3 linked regions of the Yarrowia lipolytica genome follow. The protein of the gene in region 3 interacts with the protein of the main gene of each other region in a biochemical or structural test. Links are inferred from orthologs where the notes say so. Each region holds a gene or a part of one and is shown on either strand. Other genes may lie near its edges. The genes, in order: YALI1_E39500t, YALI1_F03735g and YALI1_E18854g.

The links.
Region 1: the proteins of YALI1_E18854g (region 3) and YALI1_E39500t form a complex in vitro, tested with the Saccharomyces cerevisiae proteins (3 studies listed by BioGRID, with this or other methods). The link is inferred for Yarrowia lipolytica from reciprocal best matches to the Saccharomyces cerevisiae genes RFA1 and DNA2.
Region 2: the proteins of YALI1_E18854g (region 3) and YALI1_F03735g form a complex in vitro, tested with the Saccharomyces cerevisiae proteins (2 studies listed by BioGRID). The link is inferred for Yarrowia lipolytica from reciprocal best matches to the Saccharomyces cerevisiae genes RFA1 and RAD52.

What each region holds. Positions count from the first base shown.
Region 1 is NC_090774.1:3,947,378-3,954,038, forward strand, and holds the start of YALI1_E39500t (uncharacterized protein), read left to right. Parts: upstream 1-2,662; coding exon 2,663-4,941; intron 4,942-4,986; coding exon 4,987-6,661. UniProt on the Saccharomyces cerevisiae protein: Key enzyme involved in DNA replication and DNA repair.
Region 2 is NC_090775.1:370,847-377,075, reverse strand, and holds YALI1_F03735g (uncharacterized protein), read right to left. Parts: upstream 3,532-6,229; coding exon 2,302-3,531; downstream 1-2,301. Other genes in the region: YALI1_F03765g (uncharacterized protein), read left to right, coding at 540-1,838; YALI1_F03722g (uncharacterized protein), read left to right, coding at 4,843-6,229. UniProt on the Saccharomyces cerevisiae protein: Involved in DNA double-strand break (DSB) repair and recombination. Promotes the annealing of complementary single-stranded DNA and by stimulation of the RAD51 recombinase.
Region 3 is NC_090774.1:1,882,481-1,888,932, reverse strand, and holds YALI1_E18854g (uncharacterized protein), read right to left. Parts: upstream 3,535-6,452; coding exon 1,765-3,534; downstream 1-1,764. Other genes in the region: YALI1_E18895g (uncharacterized protein), read left to right, coding at 1-1,616; YALI1_E18843g (uncharacterized protein), read left to right, coding at 4,580-6,452. UniProt on the Saccharomyces cerevisiae protein: As part of the replication protein A (RPA/RP-A), a single-stranded DNA-binding heterotrimeric complex, may play an essential role in DNA replication, recombination and repair.

The sequences.
Region 1 (6,661 bases), about 2.1 Mb from region 3:
TACATATCAATTTCCCTGTTTTAGAAAGGCAGTCTAAAAAAACCCTATCCGATAGCGTTAGATGGTGAGACGCTTCTGTCGATATTAGAGGAAGTAGGCCGTAATGCGAGAATAATCGGCCTATTGGCGGAGAGCTCTTCGCTCCAAGGGCATGCTGCCTCAGATAAGCATGCCGTTCCAATATCACGTCTGCAGTTTCAGAGTGAAAGCCTACAAGTATGTACATGTTGCCATGGTTGGTGCCGTGCCAAGTCTTGATTGGGTCCTTGGCGGTAAAATGTGCAGGGTCCCCCAGGAACGGTTCCTGAAAGTGCCTCGGCATGCAGCTTGTTGATAACTCTCTGAAAAGCAACTTCATGACGTCAGATATGAGATTTTGGGATGTGATTGTGGATACAAGTAGAGAATATGCTGAAGATATGAGTTAGCGAGGACACATTCAAGACAAAGTTCGTTACCAGCCCCTTGGGTCGCTCCCCCCACTCTTTCGTTTCATCGGTATATAACGACGCATCTAACATGTATGCCAGGTACGGATCCTGACAAGTGAGACAAACACAATACAAACACAATGGAATACTCGTACAGTGGAAAGAATGATGGGGGACGGCACCAGGGGGTACACTTCAGGTGGAGAAACGGCATCGACCATACCTTTATGGGGTACATTAATTGGTTGTTTGACCTCGAAGATCAACAAAGAATCTCCAACTGCCCATGACCATCCACCGTTGAGTTTGTTGGTCAGTCAGACACAATCTGTGCTGTCCCCAATACCGCACATGCTGTACAGAAAACGCGCAGTTTCAGCAGGATATCTTAGAGACAGGTTTTCAATCCTTCGTTTATTTCGCTTTACGCCCCTTTGTGGTTCATTCCATTGCGGTAGTCGAGGCATGTATACTGTCCAAGTTTGTTTCAGATTTTGAGCACCGTGTTTTGAATTAGCATCGCAGTCTCATTTGGCTGTCGTGTGTACTGTACGAGTTCTATGAGGATATGATGTTACCTGTTCCAAGCCAAGAATGAACCAATCTCACATGTTTGTCCAAGTGCGGATTTGTCTCACCTGGACCCCTGTCTTGGAATGTCTTGGTCATATTATTTGGCTCCTCTAGAAACCCGTTTGCGGGTAAGGAAGCAACCTGTGCATGTTGCATCACGGCCCGCACTGCCACTACAAGTACTGTACGGTAGAGGCAGTTGAGACAGGTCTATTGAGATGGAATGGGTTTTGAAACAACAAATATACATTATAATTCTCTTTTTTTTTAATACATTCTGTCAGTTCGCCGAAGAAAAATACCTTAAGAATGTCATTTCTTGCTCGTCAAAGAGAGGTTGAAAAACATCATTGAACTTCAACTGAAGTGCTTCCATCTACAAGTTTTGTTTGGAAACAGAGAGAGACAAATCCCTTCCAGATACAAGTAGCTTTTGTTAAAGATAATTAGACCATGTACTGTATCATTAAAATAGGGACAGCAATCCCATGTTCCAGATACGTAACGAGAAAGTCATTCATTAACGTGTTCACCATTTGAAACTTCCTAAGTGCGTTTATTATTACTGCTGTATCGAGTGTAGCAGATTTCTTTCGTTTTTTTTATGATTCCGTTTATTTCCATATGACTTTAGTTGAGTTTAGTTGATACCCGATGTGAAAACACCCTACACATTAACAATCTTGTGCTCATACATACTGTACTTGACTTCTGTTTCTCTACAGCATCAATGTTCACCAAATTTCAAATTTAGACGCGTAATACCACTCATGTGGTTAGGGTTAGCACGGATCTCTCAAACACGATCCCGAGTGCAAATATCGCATTTTACACCTTTATTGCATTTAGTACAATATCTATATATATATAGACACCCTATCTTATCACTTACAGTACTTTCCTTACACTTGCTATCTTACTGCACGTGTCACTGTGTTTTTTTTTTTTTTCTGCATATACATTCATTTAATTATAACTTTGCTGTGAAAGAATAACCTTTGAAATGAATGTACGCTTACACGAATATTACTAATTAAACACGTTTAGTGTCATGGTCCAACTTGGCACGTACCTATTTCCAGTAAAAAAATCATAAAAAAACCTGGTTCAGTCCGTGTTGTATGTTGGTCCACATAGCTTCGCGTGTTTGTTCGTTCATCGGGAAAACGCCACTCCAGTCTCCAGTTCTCTAATCTCAATCCTTCCATTGCCCTCTTCGTTTGCATTGCCTTTGAAAATGTCTCCTTGTGGTTCTTCTTCGTCATTGGTTTGGTTCTGCGTCCCCTGTGGTGACTACGCGCCCTGCTACGCTGTTCTCTCGGTGGCCTCGGCCGCCTTTTACGCTTGCTACTGTGTCTACTCTCGCTCATCGTGAAGTGCTGGCGGTTGTCCATCGTAGAAACACATCTGGGCTTCCTTCAGGAATTGAAGCAAACCCTGTTGGACATGTCCCAGGGTGGCGTCGTCCCCTGAGTACCGGAGGGATCTCTCCATCTTCCAGATCCCATATGTTCTCACGGTGACTTCTGTGAAACCCACCAGATCTGAAGCAACGCCACCTTAACCGTGTCGACGTGACGCGTCAGACACGCAGTGACACACAAATTGAAAAACATACACACCTCACAACATTGATCTGATCCACGCCACCAAACAACATGTCGAGATATTTTCTGGGGTCTGTGCCCCAAGATGATCCGTCACCGGCTGCTGAAGAGGACGAAGACCCGTCCTCCGACTGGTCGGCAGCCACACCCATAAGGCCAAGGGAAAACATCCCCAGTTCGGAACAGTACGAGTCCAGTGATGGCCACATTTCTTGCATTCTCTCCCCGCTAGACAGGAACATTGTGATCCCTGACCAGAGCGACGAGCCTCCGATTCCAGTGGTCCTTGATCCAACCGAAATCCTTCTGAGACGCTACCGACCCGAATCATTCAACAACTCTGCCGCCAGCTCAGCGGCAAATTCCACAACGGTAAAGGCTTCTTCGGCTGGTTCAGATGCCAACGCCACAAGCAACTTCACCAACAACCTGGATCTCAACACGACAGTCATTGCAGACGATCCGTTCGTGGAGGCGGTGTGCTCTACGCCCAAGGGAAGGGACATTAGCGGACGCTTTGAAGAGACTACACCAACAAGAGGTCCACCCGCTCCAAAGCCAGAAGAGTCTTACAAGTTGTCATCTTCACCGCCAAAGGCCACAGCTGAGAAGCCTTCCATAACCACCAGCATCGAGGGTTTGAGTAGTCAGCTTGATATCCTTGATGACTTGGATGACGACGATATTGATTTTGCATTGACCCAACATACCCAGAAAAAGAAGGAAGTCAAGTTAACACAACCTACCATTAAAAAGGAAACTGATATCCACGTTTTGAAGGACATTGAGGACCTAAAAAAAACGCGTGGGTCTCCCATTAAGCTTTCAAAAGCATCAATGGGGTCTAATATTAGGCCCCTGACTGAAGTCAAGAAGGTTGATGTCAAGTCATTCATTGACGACCTGGAGGACGAAGACTTTGATAGTGATTTGGAACTCGAATTCACACAGGTTCGGGCCAAGAAGAAGCCGCGCCTTCAGACATCGAGATATAAGCTCGTCACTGACCATGTTATGTCTCAACGAACTCACAAGGAAAACGCCTTACCCGTGGAGATTGACTACAAACGAGACGATGTTCTGCGGTTCAGAATCGTCGAAGTGGAGGAAAGTTCGACTCAGATCGCTCTAGTTGTGGAGGACAGCAAGGCCCAGCAACACCGTGTTGCTTTGCGAGGTTGCTGGATGCGAGCAATACCTTGTGTGGGAGACATTTGTCATTTGATCGATGAGTCATCAAATGACGACATGGATCTCGATTTCGAGATGGATTTCGACTACATTGTGGACGACATGAAGGGCGATATGCTTTTTATTCTGAATCCTGACACTCTGGTGACCTGTACAGCCGTTGCTGAGGCCCACCAGTGCACTCGAAACGTGGTTCTGAAAGACAAAATGCAGGGACCGAGAGGAATCGGGTCTATTTTTGCACTCTTGGGTGTCATTATCCACGAGACCATCCAGATGTGCTTTGGAGCTGTGAGATACGACGCCGAGTTTGTGGAGTCATGTGCTGAGACCGTTACCAAAGCAAACATGGATGGCATCATGCTCTCTGGTGAGAGTTTTGACTCTGTGTTTGCCAAAATCAAGGACCGACTACCGAACATTGTGGAGTGGTTTAGAGAGTATATGCGTCAGACTCCCTCTGCAGTGGCGATTGAGAATCGAACAGGTAAGAAGAGAACTCTTGCTATCACCAAAGTTGTCGATGTTGAAGAAGAGATCTGGTCTCCGCGATACGGAATCAAGGGTAAGATCGATGCCACCATTGAAGTCCGGGAGGGAAACCACCGATACTTGGTTCCTCTGGAAGTCAAGACGGGAAAATCTACAACTCATATTCCCCACCGGTCGCAAACGGCGCTGTACACTCTCATGTTGCATGATCGGTACACTTGTCCCATCAACTTTGGAGTTTTGTATTACTCTGCCACCTCTGAGACCCTTGTCATTCCAGCTGTCAAGGACGAAATTCATAACCTGCTTGCTATTCGAAACGAGGTTGCTAGCTTCATGCGACAAGGGTCTCGAGACATGCCTGACGTTATCTACGATCAAGGCCAGTGTGACCGGTGTTTCCAGAAGTCGGAATGTATGGTCTATTACCGACTCTACGATACGTATTTGAAGGAGTATATGGGTGAAGATGGTGGAGCGACCGCCAACAAGGCCAGATTCTTGCAGGAGACCGAACATGTGACTGAGAAGGACTCTCAATTCTTTAACCACTGGGATGCCTTGCTGGCCAAGGAAGGAAGTGATACTGCAGTGCTCAAACGAGAGGTGTGGACCATGCTGTCCAAGGATAGAGAAAGGGAAGGGAGGTGAGTATTGATGAGATTATGCTGCCTTTAATTTTACTAACAGAGATGTTTCTCAAGCCTTATTATTGACAACGTGGAGAAGAATGCCAATTCATTGTGGTACACGTTCAAGTCTCCTGATGGAAGCGAGATCCCCTATGCATCTGTCAACATTTCGCCGGGTGACCGAGTAGTCATTTCTGATGAGGCTGGTCATTACTGTTTGGCTATGGGTACTCTGCTTGGCTCGTCTTCAGAGACTGTGCGATGTGCTCTTGATCGTCGACTTGAGTTCTCTCTGCAGAAACTCCAGGGTTTCAGATCCAACGACAACCAGGTTTTCCAGAGCATGCTGACCCACAGTTCTCAGAGCCATGAAGCCCCCATAGATTTTAGGTTTCGGGTTGATCGTGACGACTTCGCTTTTGGCCTGGGAGTTGCCCGTAACAACCTGTTTTCTCTGTTTGCCAAGCATCTCGGTACCGATGAGAGCCCCCAGAAGATCGAGCAACTGCGTTCATGGATTGTTGATTTGGCACCCCCTCAGCCTGTTGCTGGAGAGCCCACTGTCAAACTCGGTCGACTCAATTCCGACCAGACTAGGGCTGTCCACCACATCCTGAACTCAAAGGATTACAGTCTTCTACTAGGAATGCCTGGAACCGGTAAGACCACCACCATTGCTGAGATTATCATGGAGCTGGTCAAGAACGGAAAGACTGTTCTCCTGAGTAGTTTCACTCATTCTGCTGTCGACAACATTTTGTTGAAGCTGATGCAGCACCCTTCATGTAACTTCGACATGCTGAGATTGGGAAGCACCTCCAAAATTCACCCTGAGGTTGCGGAGCATTACGCAGCCAACAACCGACGGAACTACGAGACCCGAGAAGAGTTCGAGAAGCTTTTTCTTGCTCCTCCAGTTGTTGGTGCAACTGCCTTGGGTATTGGAGACTGGGTTCTTCAGGAGCGTCATTTCGATTACTGCATTGTTGATGAGGCCTCCCAAATCACCCTTCCTTTCTGCCTCGGTCCAATCCGCTATGCAGACAAGTTCGTTCTTGTTGGAGATCATTACCAGCTGACGCCCATTGTCAAGAATCCGGAAGCTGCTGGACTGCGAGAGTCTCTTTTCAAGATGCTATGTGACGCACATCCCACCCAGGTAGTTAATCTGGGTATTCAGTACCGAATGTGTGCTGATATCATGTTGCTGTCCAACACTCTGATCTATGATGGCAAGCTGAAGTGTGGTAGTGACGAGGTGGCCAACCAATCTTTGGCTGTTCCTCAGCTCTCCAAACTGCGTACTTTGTACGCCGATGGACTCCCCAATGGCGACTATCTAGGTCATGTTCTGGATCCCAAGCGGAAGGTTATCTTCCTCAACACGGATCTTGTTCCTGCGCAGGAAACTATTGCCGGCGATAGAATCCATAACCCCACTGAAGCTGTCATAGTGGGCCAGATTGTGGAGGCTCTTTGTCTGTGTGGCGTTGAAGACTCACAGATTGGATGCATCTCGCAGTACAGAGCTCAGCTGAAACTTATCAACAAGGAGCTTGCCCTGCGAAGTGGCATCGAAGTTATGACCGCAGACAAGTTCCAGGGCCGAGACAAGGACTGCATTGTGGTGTCTCTCGTGCGGTCAAACAACGAGCAGCGAGTCGGTGATCTTCTCAAGGATTGGCGACGGCTCAATGTGGCCTTTACGCGATCTCGATCCAAGCTCATTGTCATT
Region 2 (6,229 bases), on a different chromosome or scaffold from region 3:
GAGAGAGAGAGAGAGAGAGAGAGAGAAAAAACCGAGTCGAGAAGGCTAAAAAAATAGCCGTTGAAGAGTGCTAGTATGGCGGGGGGAAGTGGCGGTTTATATACATGGAATCAGCAGCAGTGTATCCACAAAGGGGACGTAACACAAATGCTCACACCCATCTATGTCCCACACTCACACAGCTTCACTCTTGACATCCGCTTTCATCTCATCGAAACACTCAAGCTTATACTGTACAGTAGCCTACTCCGCCGCCGTACCTCCTGTATCTCCCACCACCAGAGTTTCTAAATAGTGGGATGAAAAGGTGAAGATGGTGATACCGTAGATGGGTGTTAGTAGTGGATAAACGGCCAAAGTGTGATATTTTAGTCGCAAGAATACCATACAATAGACACGTGGCACCCATAGCACCCACATCTACAGCGCTCGTACTGTCCTTGCTAACCCTATCATCCAACTTCCCAAACAAGCGTCTTCTAATTTTTCACCGCGTGCGTGCAAGTTTTTTTTCTGCAACACACAAAAGGGACGACAAAATGGCCAAGGAAGTGGAACCAAGCGACGCCGAGAAGAACATCGAGATCTGGAAGGTGCGAAAGCTGATCAAGAACCTCGAGGCCGCTCGAGGTAACGGAACCTCCATGATCTCGCTCATCATGCCCCCCAAGACCCAGATTCCACAGTACTCCAAGATGTTGACCGATGAGTACGGAACCGCCTCTAACATCAAGTCTCGAGTCAACCGACAGTCGGTGCTCTCCGCTATCACATCCACTCAGCAGCGTCTCAAGCTGTACAACCGAGTGCCCACCAACGGTCTGGTTATCTACTGTGGAGACGTGATTACTGCCGACGGCAAGGAGAAGAAGATGTCCATTGACTTCGAGCCCTTCAAGCCCATCAACACCTCTCTTTACCTGTGTGACAACAAGTTCCATACCGAGGCTCTGTCAGAGCTGCTGGAGTCCGACTCCAAGTTTGGCTTCATTGTCATGGACGGTAACGGAGCCCTGTTCGGTACTCTGTCCGGAAACACCCGAGAGGTTCTGCACAAGTTCACCGTTGATCTGCCCAAGAAGCATGGTCGTGGTGGTCAGTCCGCGCTGCGATTCTCCCGACTGCGAGAGGAAAAGCGACACAACTACGTGCGAAAGGTGGCCGAGGTGGCTGTCCAGAACTTCATCACAAACGACAAGGTCAACGTCAACGGTCTGATTCTGGCCGGTTCTGCCGACTTCAAGACCGAGCTGAACGGCTCTGATCTCTTTGACAACCGTCTGCACGCTAAGGTCATCAAGACTGTCGATGTGTCGTACGGAGGAGAGAACGGCTTCAACCAGGCCATCGAGCTGTCTGCCGAGACTCTGTCCAACGTCAAGTTCGTTCAGGAGAAGAAGCTGCTGACCCAGTACTTCGACGAGATCTCCATGGACTCTGGAAAGTTCTGTTACGGCTACGACGAGACTCTCAAGGCCCTGGATCTCGGAGCCTGCGAGACTGTCATTGTCTACGAGAACCTTGACATCCAGCGAATGACTCTCAAGAACAACGATGGCGAGGAGACCATTGTGCACATCAAGAAGGGAACTCCCACCGAGGAATACCTGATCGACAAGGAGGGTAACGAGCTGGAGGTGGTCGACGAGATTCCTCTGCTCGAGTGGCTAGCCGAGCACTACAAGGACTTTGGCGCCCAGCTGGAGTTTGTCACAGACCGGTCCTCCGAGGGTGCCCAGTTCGTCCAGGGCTTTGGTGGTATCGGCGCTCTGCTCCGGTACAAGGTCAACTTTGAGCAGCTCGTGGAGGAGTCTGACGACGAGTACTACGACGACTAAGAGACTAATGTGCATCACAAAAATGTTACGTAACAAAATTATAGTGGAGAGAGACTGGATGAACGACGTGACTCTCCGATTATAGATTATGGATGGGTTATTATTAGGTGAAATAGTTGATAGTGCCTTGCCACAACACTGGTAAATTAATACAACGGATGGTGACAATGACAACAAAACAATGAGCAAGTAAATCACAGCACACTGGAAGGCCAAGTACAGTCACCAGTATCTGTACAGTAAAACGCGACACATTAATTGGAGGCCAATAAAACTAACTACGACGCTTACTGTAGCTCTGGACATCAGAACAACACCATCCCTATTGGTCCAGTCGCCTACAGCGGTACAGGACGACTACATACAGCACACTTGAAATTCACTTGCTACTCTGACTGTACACCATTCATATGCAAATTGATAGAAGCTAATATACACCCTCCATCTGTCCATCCCTCGTTTTCTATTCATCATTTTCGTTAATTTTGTGCTTTTTGGCAACAGGGGTGGTAAACTCGGGCTTCACAGGATTCACTAACGGCTTGGACAATGGGCTGGGGGGAATGTTGGTGGACTTGGGGTGCATGGGAGGACGTGGTTTGGCAATAGGCACACTCCTATTATGCTCCAAGGTGCGCTTAATGGAAGGACTTTGGATGTTGATGTCAAACGCGGCATTCTGTGAAATGGGACTGCCCTTGTTGATATCTGCCGCAACGCTGGCCTTGAAGAAGCCCACGGGGATAGGCGATCCGTCCTCCTCCATTGCCTCAGCCGAAATGGGCAGGTCTTCGTCAAAGTCCTCAGCGGAGATGGAGGGCGAAGGGTTGCGTCCGGCCTTGAGCTGGGGCACTAGGGAGTCGAGGTCGAGATCGTCGTCGTCAAATGAGTAGTCGATGCCCTCGCACATGGCCTCTATGGACACGGCCTTGCTGCGGTTGCTGGATGTGTTTGAATGACCGTGGAGGCTGACGGAAGGCGCAGGAGGGGCAGGGGCAGGGGCTGGAGCAGGAGGATCCTGATTATGCGAGGTGGTGGATGTGGATGTAGATGCAGTAATGTTGGCAGCAGTGGCCTGCTCCTGCTTGATATCACGCTTGATGACAAATTCTGGCTTTCGAATCAGATTATTCTCATCAAACGTGTACTTGGCAGATCGCACCGTCTTGAGCTTGCTCAGGTATTCCGAGTCGTACAGACAGTTGCCCAGAGAGGGGCCAAACTGACGCATGGCTCGCTTAAATGCATCCGTCACAGCCTCCTTGCGCGACTTGTTGAGCGCCATGTCTCGCTTGGGGCAGTTCTCGACATTGCCGGACCCCGTGTCTTCCCGATAGGTGCCGTCCTTGAGATGGACACGAACAATAGCATAGACGCCCACGTCCCATCGCTTTGTGTCGGGGTTCTGGTCGCAGTAGTCGACCTCCAGCTTGATGATCTGCGACCGCCAACCGTTGAAGCCGAAGATCTCGTTGGCCAGATTGAACACCTTCCAGCCCTCCAAGTAGTGCACGCTTCGACCTCCCGGACTGGGCCGTTTGGAGACAAATTCGGGGCCCAGGTTGTGTTTGAGCAGATCAGACACCTGTCGCTCCTCGCTGCGCGAGTAAGGAATGTTGGGGGCGCCCCCAGAGCCCGTGGTGATGGCTTTGGGTGGATCAGGCAGCGCGTAGTGGTCTCCGAACTGTGGCATTGCTAGTAGAGCGGGTGGCGTTTTTTGATGCAATTAGGAAACAAGGTGGTTAGTGTTGTGGTACCGGCGGAAACGAAGTCGTTTCGTTACGATCAGATGCTTGTCACTGAGGAAGTAGTTTTTGTCAGGCACTTTTTTCTTACAACGAAAAAGCAGGTATCCTTGCAGGTGAACTTCTCTGGTGTGACGCGTCTATGTCGATGCAGGAAAAATACCTGCAATGTTATGATCAGAGTAAGCAGCTAAAAATGCAGTCTTAGAGGAGAGCAAGATATGGTACGGAGGGCGTGAAGATGGTGGGTGAGGAGAAAACAAGAGCAAGTTAGACATGAATAATGAGCATTAGCATTGCTTCAGCTTTGTCACCGCCCTTATAATCTTCTAAATAATACTCTTGAGGTGTTCCTGGTTCAGTCTTGAATTTTACAGTTTTAGTGTCAACACGTCCACACGCGAAACGCTCTCTCGATTACAAATTCAAGCTTGCTGTGAGAACGCGGCGGGCGTAGATTGCCCCTACAACATGGCACGTGACCGGGAGACGTAGATATTGCTCTTCACAATGCGGTAACATCACCAGTGAAGAATCTGCTTACGTACAGCACCTACTTGCCTATATAAGGACTTCCACTTCTTAGTCACCAACTTTAGTTACTTAGCTTTAGATGTAAATTTGTTGAGAGAAGAAGTCAGCTAGGGGTAGCTATTTCGATCTTCCCGAAATGGTGTAACAAAAAGAAGGATATAATTGGATAGATAAAGGAGCGATGTTTCATATAAAGCAAAAAATGTATCTCTTCAGCGTCAATAAGTGGAGTTGGCGGCGTTGGAGGGGGCAAGGGATAAGTAAGCGCTGTTGGGATATTAGTTGTGATTTAGTTGGTAGTCTGAATATACAAGTACTGTAAATAACGTGTGAGAGGTTGCCGAAACTATATATAAATAAATTGTGGGAGGTGGCAGTTTCAGGGTCGCCGAGAAAACTAATAAGACAATGAATCAACCGACCAATATAAATCAACTGCAATTACTCCATTCACCTTCCCACTCCCTCCCCCTCCCGCCCACCAAGTATTCTCCTCTAACCTGTCTCCATCCACTGATTGTTACTCAAGCTTTCTGCATTGTTGTTTCTGCATGTTTGGATAGCCTCTGAAAAAGATTCTGGAAGCTTGCGAGATCAAGAAGTGAACCAAAACAACCACATAACCGCCGCAACCACCGCTACTACTAACGAATCTGCATCATCCAAACTAGAAGAAACGATTACCGACACATACTCACACACACAACTCACAATACACACACCACATGGTCAGCGTATCGCGAATGATGCCGGTGCCTAGTGCCCGGTCGGAACCCATCCCATACCACAGTCTCATGACGCTGGTGATGAAATACAGATTTGGCAACATGTATCGGCTGCTGTTCACGCTTTGCTATCTGATTGGAATTGTGATTGAGGTGCTACGACGGGTGTTGGCGTCGTCAGATGACTCCTCATGGTGGTGGTGCCTGTTACCTCTACGAGCCTCTTGGCTACTACTGGGTCTGTTGCCGGTCGTCATCATGAGAAAGGCCGACCTGCACATACGGGAGCTGCCGTACCTGTCACTGGCTGCTGAGATCTGTGATCGTATCTTCTCAACCACGTTTGTCGTCACCTTCGCAGCATACATGCTGTCAGCATCCATGTTCTTCGGTTACTACACCAAGGCCATGTCGACAGAGAACTCGGCCTTCACCACCCGAGCTACCCCGTTGACCCAGCCTATGCTAAACGAGAATGCCCTTTACCTGATGGTGTTCCCAATTGCTCTGTCTCTGGCCCAGTCGGTGCTCCACATCGCCAAGGACATTGACAAGCTCATTGTACAGCCTGTGACCGAAGAACCCGCTCGACCCATGGAGAGACTCAAGCACCAGATGACCGACATTGTCAAAAATGCAGGCACTCTGTCGGCGGGCTTCTCTCTGGTCGTCTACCCCATCATGTTCTACCCCAGCTTCCGCACCAAGATCTGGAACATCACTATGTCACTGTCGGGCTACTGGTACGGACTCAACAAGGCACAGACCCCCGAGGTGTATCCCGGTCTACGATTCTCGCTGGTCATGGACACTTTCATCGCCTCAGCAATCCTGTTGCTTCTGTGGAATCTCGTCAACACCACCTTCTCCATCTACATGTCTCTGGGACCTCTACGCAAGGGCGAAGGAATCAGTGAATCGTCTCCCGACAGAAACGGAACTTTGGTATCGGGACTGCGAGACTCCAAGCACGTTTACCCGCAATCGGTGGCATTCCAGGAGCTGCTCTACGTGGCCCTCTTCTCTCCACAGGGACGAGTCCAAATGTTTGAAGATCTCAGCAGAGATCAGAGCATGTGGGTCGAGGTATACGCCGAGTGCAAGAAACAGATTGTAGCTGTGACCGAGGCAGCCAATTCGTCCATTGGTAAAGTCAAGTCCAAGCCGAAGCCCAACCCCTTTGACTACAAGGGCAAGCAGCAGGCCGACCTGGTGTCTACGGCCCGTCCCGAGGCTCCCCAAATCGTCATCAGAAGGGACAACATCTTCAAGAACCCCAAACCGGATTTCCCCAAGGTGGTTCAGGTGTTCCAAGACAAGGAGGCTACTACTTCCAACCAATTTTCCGAGTCTGTGTCTGAGCTCTTCAAGACGTTCACCGAGCTTC
Region 3 (6,452 bases):
TGTCGCTTTTGTTCAATAAAAAGCTATGCGGCACCTCGCAAATCTGGGAAATGGGAGTGGGTTGTCACAGCGTGGAAGGAGGGGTGACCAGCGCGCAGGAGGGAAATCGCTGCGAGATTCTCAGGTTACTCGTGTGCTGCTCGTGCAAACAGCTGTACACTAGTGTTAACCATGTTACCACGCAGGGCTCCCGGTTTCTCACGTGCATTGTCAGCGGGCTTGGTAAGAGCGACACCCTGTTGCTACTGTGCTCTCTGCTCAACTTGTCGCTGGTGCGGTTGTTGCGCGATGCCAATGCCTTCCAAACAGTCGTGTTTGGGGGCTCTCAGACGGCGTTCTGGGCCCTGGAACTGTTGCTTCTGCTTGTTGTCTACTACCCCCCGGAGCCGGGCGTGAAGAACAACTTCAGATACTTTCTGGGCAAACTCAAGCAGGATGTGGACTTTGAGTTCATTGCAAGACACATTAGCGAGATTCTGGCCAAGTTCTCGGCCTCCTCTGGCTCCATTTTGACTGGCAAGAAGGAAACACGCACCAACGAGATTATCTGTTTGTTATGGGAGATCATTCAGACCAACAAGCGATTCTTGCCGTGGCTTCTAAAGAAGGGGTACCTCGACAACATCATTCTATCGATTCTGCAACAAATCAAAATGTGTGAGAGCACGCAGACTCTGAGGCTGCTCAGTAACTTCCTGCTCTATCTGAGTGATGATGATGTGGTTGTGTCTTCGTTCGACGATGGCACTGTGAATTTCAACTATGTGCTTGGCCAGCTCTTCTCTGTCATCACTCAACCTCGTGAAGAAATCAACCCCATCATCCCCACTCTGGTTGAATGCATCTACAACCTGTCTGTGCAGGCCAAGCATATCGACTACACGGTGTCGTGCCAGCTGGTTGACATTTTCGACGTTCTGTCATCGCCCTCCTTCTTGTTCGCCAACTCCACAAACCGCTTCCTGTTGGAGCTCACCCTGGAGTCCATCAACGCCATGCTTGAATACAACTTTCAGGCCAACAAGTCGCTTGTCTTTGTTCTACAGAAGCGACGGTCGTCATTTGAAAAGCTGCATCGCCTCGTGAAGGAGAAAGGAAAGGAGCCTACAAATGGTGAGGAGGACTTGTCATGGCTAGAAGACCTTCCACTCGACACCATTGACACGGTCTACGCCATGATTGAGTCCTCTGTCCCTGGGTTGAACACATACTCCGCAGTACCACCACCAAGCTCCAGCACAAGCCCTGCTAGCGACGAGCCCAAGACCACTAAAGACACACCCTCCACGATGATCGACACTATAGGCACCCTCAATCCTCCTGTGCAGCCCACAAAGTTCCACAAGATTGAGTTTCAGTGGGACCCAGTGCTTCTTGGCTGGTATCTATCTCTCATTTGGACCAGTCTCTACACCCATGAGGCTCGCGTGGGTCGTCAAGTGACCTCCCTAGCTGACACTGTGGGCACAGGGTACAGTACGGGTGCCGCTGCAGTGGGTGTATGGAACCGAACCCACACCAAGCTGTTCAAGGTGCAGCAGAGTGTTGCAGCTCCTAATCTCGGTGCTGTGGATGCTGTAGCGTTGAACGTGTGGAAGCGGATTACTAACAGGTAGCCAACGACAGTGTTTGCCACAAGAACTGATTATAGATAATGATGAATGATGAACTCACGACAGAACTACTTGCTTGCGCTAAATTACAATCTTTCATAAACTATATATACCCCCATCATTCATAACAACTAGTAACACCAATCCCCCATTACATGTATTGGTCGAGGTCCTTGATGAGCTCATCAATATCCTTGAGATAGTCGAGCGCCTGCGCCGTAAGAACCTGGTGACGAGCCTTGGATTCTTCGTTGTAAAACTCCTGCTTGGATCGGCATCGCAGAGTGTACTGTTTGCCGGTGACCTTCTGAACAGCTTGCTCAAACTCATCGTCTCCTTGGCTAGTCTGGATCTCGGTCAATTGATCTGCGGTCATGCCCATAATCACTTCAGCAGGCTCGTTGAATGCCGTCAGCCACATGCTTCCTGTGGCATCTCCCACGTTGATGGAGAGGATGTATCTGTAAAGAGGTTTATCCATGTTCTTTTCACACTTTTCGCATCGCCACTCGTCACCATGCTCGACCACCTTTTTGTTACAGTCCGGAGTCTGACAAGCAGGGTATGCAAAGTTGCCGGTTCGAACGTGCACGACCCAAGCCTGTAGGGTGTAGTAGTCGGGCTTTTCTGACTGTCCGTAGCTGGATGTGGCGACATCAATGGGTGTGGCGGCCACAGGCTTGTTGGTGGTAGTTGTCTGCAGCTGCTTAAAGCTCGTCTGCTTACCCTCAGAGGCATACCATCCCTTGAGCGCGTAGGTCTCGTCGATGGCTGGTTCCACGGCAATAGTGGAGCTGTGACTGGTGGACAGGTTTCGGCCGTTAAAGTCGCCAACGCGGGCGCCCTTGATGGCGATAATGGTGCCAACAGGAACAGTTCCCTCGTCGAAGGAAGTGGCCTTCTCTCCAAAGAAAGTCAGACGGGTGGCAAATCCACTCTTGTCTCCCAACATGAGGTTTCGTCGCTTATAGGGGTTGCCAGTAGCCTTGGCCACGCCGTCTTCCAGGGGACCAACGTTCTGGACGACACCAAGAACGTCAACATTGTTGCCAACTTCAACATCCTGCAGCTTATCGAGAGTCACAAACGAGTAATTGGCTGTGGGGATAGCAGCGGCCTCGGCCTCGTCCGCCTGGATGATAACCGTGTCTCGGCCAAACACCAGCTCGTAGTCATTGTTCACGTTGGAGAACTTCTTGTTAGCCATGGAGACTCGGCATTGAGTCACGTAGTAAACCTGGCCCTCCTCCAGCATGGGGTAGAACTTATCCACCTCCTGGTTGAAGCCGGTGGCTCGAATTTCGCCCGTCTCGTCGATAAAGGTGACATTGAAGAGCTGGCCCTCTCCCTTGGTGTTGGAGAACTTCTTCTTGTCGGCCTTGGAAGTGACTCGGACCTTGATGGCCCACTTGTTCTGGTAAGGCGAAAGTCGCTCAATGGGCATCACAGTGGCGGGGAATCCCTGGGCCTGGACACCAGCAGGAATCTCGTTGGTAGAAGCCATTCGCTTGGCAGGGGTGGGGTTGCTGGTGGCAGCAGCAGGAGCAGTAGCAGCAGCGCCACCAGGAAGCTCAGCATCCTCTTCGGTATCGAGTCCCAGAGCCGCGTCGGCGTGGCTCAAGAAGTCCATCTGGTGGACGTAGACGACTCCTCGCTGTTTGGCCATGACCAGCTCAAAGTTGCTGAGCTTGACAATGTCGAATTTGCCCGGTCGTTCTTGGGGCAGGTTGTCCAGGTCGCCGAACACCATGCCGGGCTTTTCTCCGTCAAACAGAGTCACCTTGAATCTGTTCTTGCCGGGCAGCTCGCTCATGGGCCGCACAATCTGGAGAATTGGAGCCCGAAACTTTTCAGGCAGCTCATCTCGGCTGGTGGCGTTCTCCACGGCGTCGAAAAATCCGGTCGATAGCTCAAACGTCATCTTGTATCTTGTGGTCTTGTGTGTATGTGTGTGTGTGTTGCTGTGGAGCGTAGAAAACAAGCAGATGAATTTTGGAAAGAACGCGTCGCGCAGGCGTGCACACTCTTAATTAAGTAGGGTAAGAAGCGAACCTTGTCGCGGAGTGGCGGTGGCAAAATTTAGAGAAACAGGAACATGGAGGGGGGGTCAGTGGATATCCTCTTTACTGCCATATTCTGAGCCTCTGCTCCTTCTTTTCCTTCAATTTCTGTACTGGTCCAACCATTTCGAGGTCCATGGTAGCGTCGTCTAGACTACCCCCTAAACAGTATCATACATGCGCATCTTTTATTGTTTACGCGTTCGCATCAAAAACTTTAGGCAGGCTACTGGACGAGCGATGCATACAGTATTTGGAAGATTGAGACTTGAATACGTCTGAAAAAAACACAAAAAGATACGATATTTCCCCTCGAGCTTGGAGATAACTGATTTTCCTGTCCCAATTCCAATCGGTATTCGCCATCACCCCGCATTGAGTTGTTTTCAACTGAAGATCAGTGGTATAGGCTTGTAGTAATAGTCTTGTCCAGACAGTATCGATCCACAGCAGCTCGACCGGAGCAACCAGTTTTGACGACAACAACAGTCGTTATCATTGATGTTCTACAGATAGTACCAGTCCGTTGAGGTTTGGTTTGATAGCTTCTGAATCGTGTGGAGCTGAATTCGCGTGGAGCTCTGAATTATCGTGCGTGTGGTTCGCAATGTCTATAACGAGAAACCAGCAAGTACTTGTACTTGAGTTATATTTTTGTTTTCTTCGTAATTTACAAAGTATTTCTTTTTTTTTCTTTTATTTTTTTTTTTTCTTTTATTTTTTTTATTTCTTTTATTTCTTTTATTTCTTTTATTTCTTTATTTTCTTTTATTTCTTTTACTGTATTTTTATTCCAAAATAAAGTTTAGATGGACGCGAGTGAAATGTAAATTGTCATTCTACCACCAACACGCGTACACTTCAACACAACATCACCACACACCATCACAACACCATCACAACACTATGGGCACCCTCAAGGCTATTGAGCTGTGCAACTTCAAGTCGTACCGTGATACGCACCGTGTGGATCTCGGTGACTCGTCGTTCTCGGCCATCATCGGCCCCAACGGTTCGGGTAAGTCCAACATGATGGACGCCATCTCGTTTGTGCTCGGAGTGCGGTCTTCGCAGCTCCGATCCACCCAGCTCAAGGACCTCATCTACCGAGGCCGAATCATGCGTGGCGAGGAAGTCAGCTCGACCCAGTCTCAGGAAGCCACGTCGGCATACGTTCTGGTGGAGTACGAAAAGTCAAATGGAGACCTACTCAAGCTCAAGCGAACCATCACACCCTCGGGCACGTCTGAGTACCGAATCAACAACAAGGTCACGTCGTCAGGCGAATACAATGCCACCATGAAGAAGGAAAACATTCTGGTCAAGGCCCGAAATTTCCTGGTCTTCCAGGGAGATGTGGAGCAGATTGCCAGTCAGTCGCCTCAAGACTTGTCCAAGCTGATTGAAATCACCTCTGGCTCCATCGATCTCAAGCCCGAATACGACCGTCTCAAGGAGGAGCTAGATGTCCAGACTGAGCGAAGCAACGCAGCCTGGCAGCGACGACGTACCTACAACGCTGAGAAGAAGCACTACGTTGAGCTCAAGGACCGTTACGACGCGTACACCGCCAAGGCCGCAGAGCGAGACGAGGCCGTTGTGAAGCAGCAGCTGTGGAGACTGTGGCAGGCCCAAAAAATCGAAGATGAGGCCCGAGACCAGATTGAAGGTGGAGACGCTGCTATCCAGAACGCCGAGGGGGCTGTTCAGGAGGCTGCTCAGGAGGTGGAAAACGTGGCTGCCAAATATGCCAGCGACAAGAAGCGGCTGCTCAAGCAGGAGCGTTCGGCAAAGAAGCGAGCAGACGTCATTCTGGAGCACAAGCAGCAGCTCGTGCCTGTGGCTGAACGTATTGCTGTGGTGTCCGGCAACATTTCGCGTCACGAGGCTCGGTACGGCACTGTCGAGGCTGACTTACTTCGACACCAGGACGAAGTCAAGCAGACTCGAGGCTCTCTCAAGATGGTTCAGGATGCCTCCAGTGAGTTTGAACGAGATCTGTCATCGAAGCAGAAGGAGTCAGGCGGAGTTATTCGAACTGATGAGGACGCGGCCGAGTATAGCACGCTGAAAAATGAGGTGCACAAGCGGTCGCTGGCTGAGCAGGCTGAGATTGAGACGGTGAAGCGAAAACTCAGACCTGTTCTGGACCATAAGCGAGCTCTGGAGCAGGCACAGGAGGACTCGGAACTCAAGGTCAAGGAGTTTAAAAGCGAGTTTGGCGTCTACCAGACCCAACTGAAGGAAGCTGAGGAGGTACTCAAGACCCACCAGTCTGCTCTGAGAACTCAGAGTGAGTCTCTGGCTCGGGTTGTGGACGAACAGACTACCCGACGACGTGTCGAGCTGGAGCTTGGCGACAAGCTGGGTGTTGTGGCTAACCGTCTGATTGAGCTAAATGCGGTCAAGCGACAGACTGAGCGAGAACGACGACTTAAAGAGACTGTTGCCAACCTGAAGCATGTTTTCTCGGCACAGAAGGTCCACGGTCTCGTCTACGACCTGTGCAAGCCCAAGGAGAAGCGACACGATCTTGCTGTGGAGACCATTCTCGGTAAGGACATTGATTCCATTGTTGTGGACAGTTTCAAAACTGCACAGGACTGTATTGCATACCTCAAGGAGCAGCAGGGCGGTCTTGCCTCGTTCATTCCCCTCGATACTATCAAGGCCATGCCTGTCAACTCGTCGTTGCGGTCGCGTCTTCGTGGGGCTGTACTTGCCATTGATGCCATTTCCTTTTCGTCTCAGTACGAACGGGCTTTCCAGTACGTTTGTG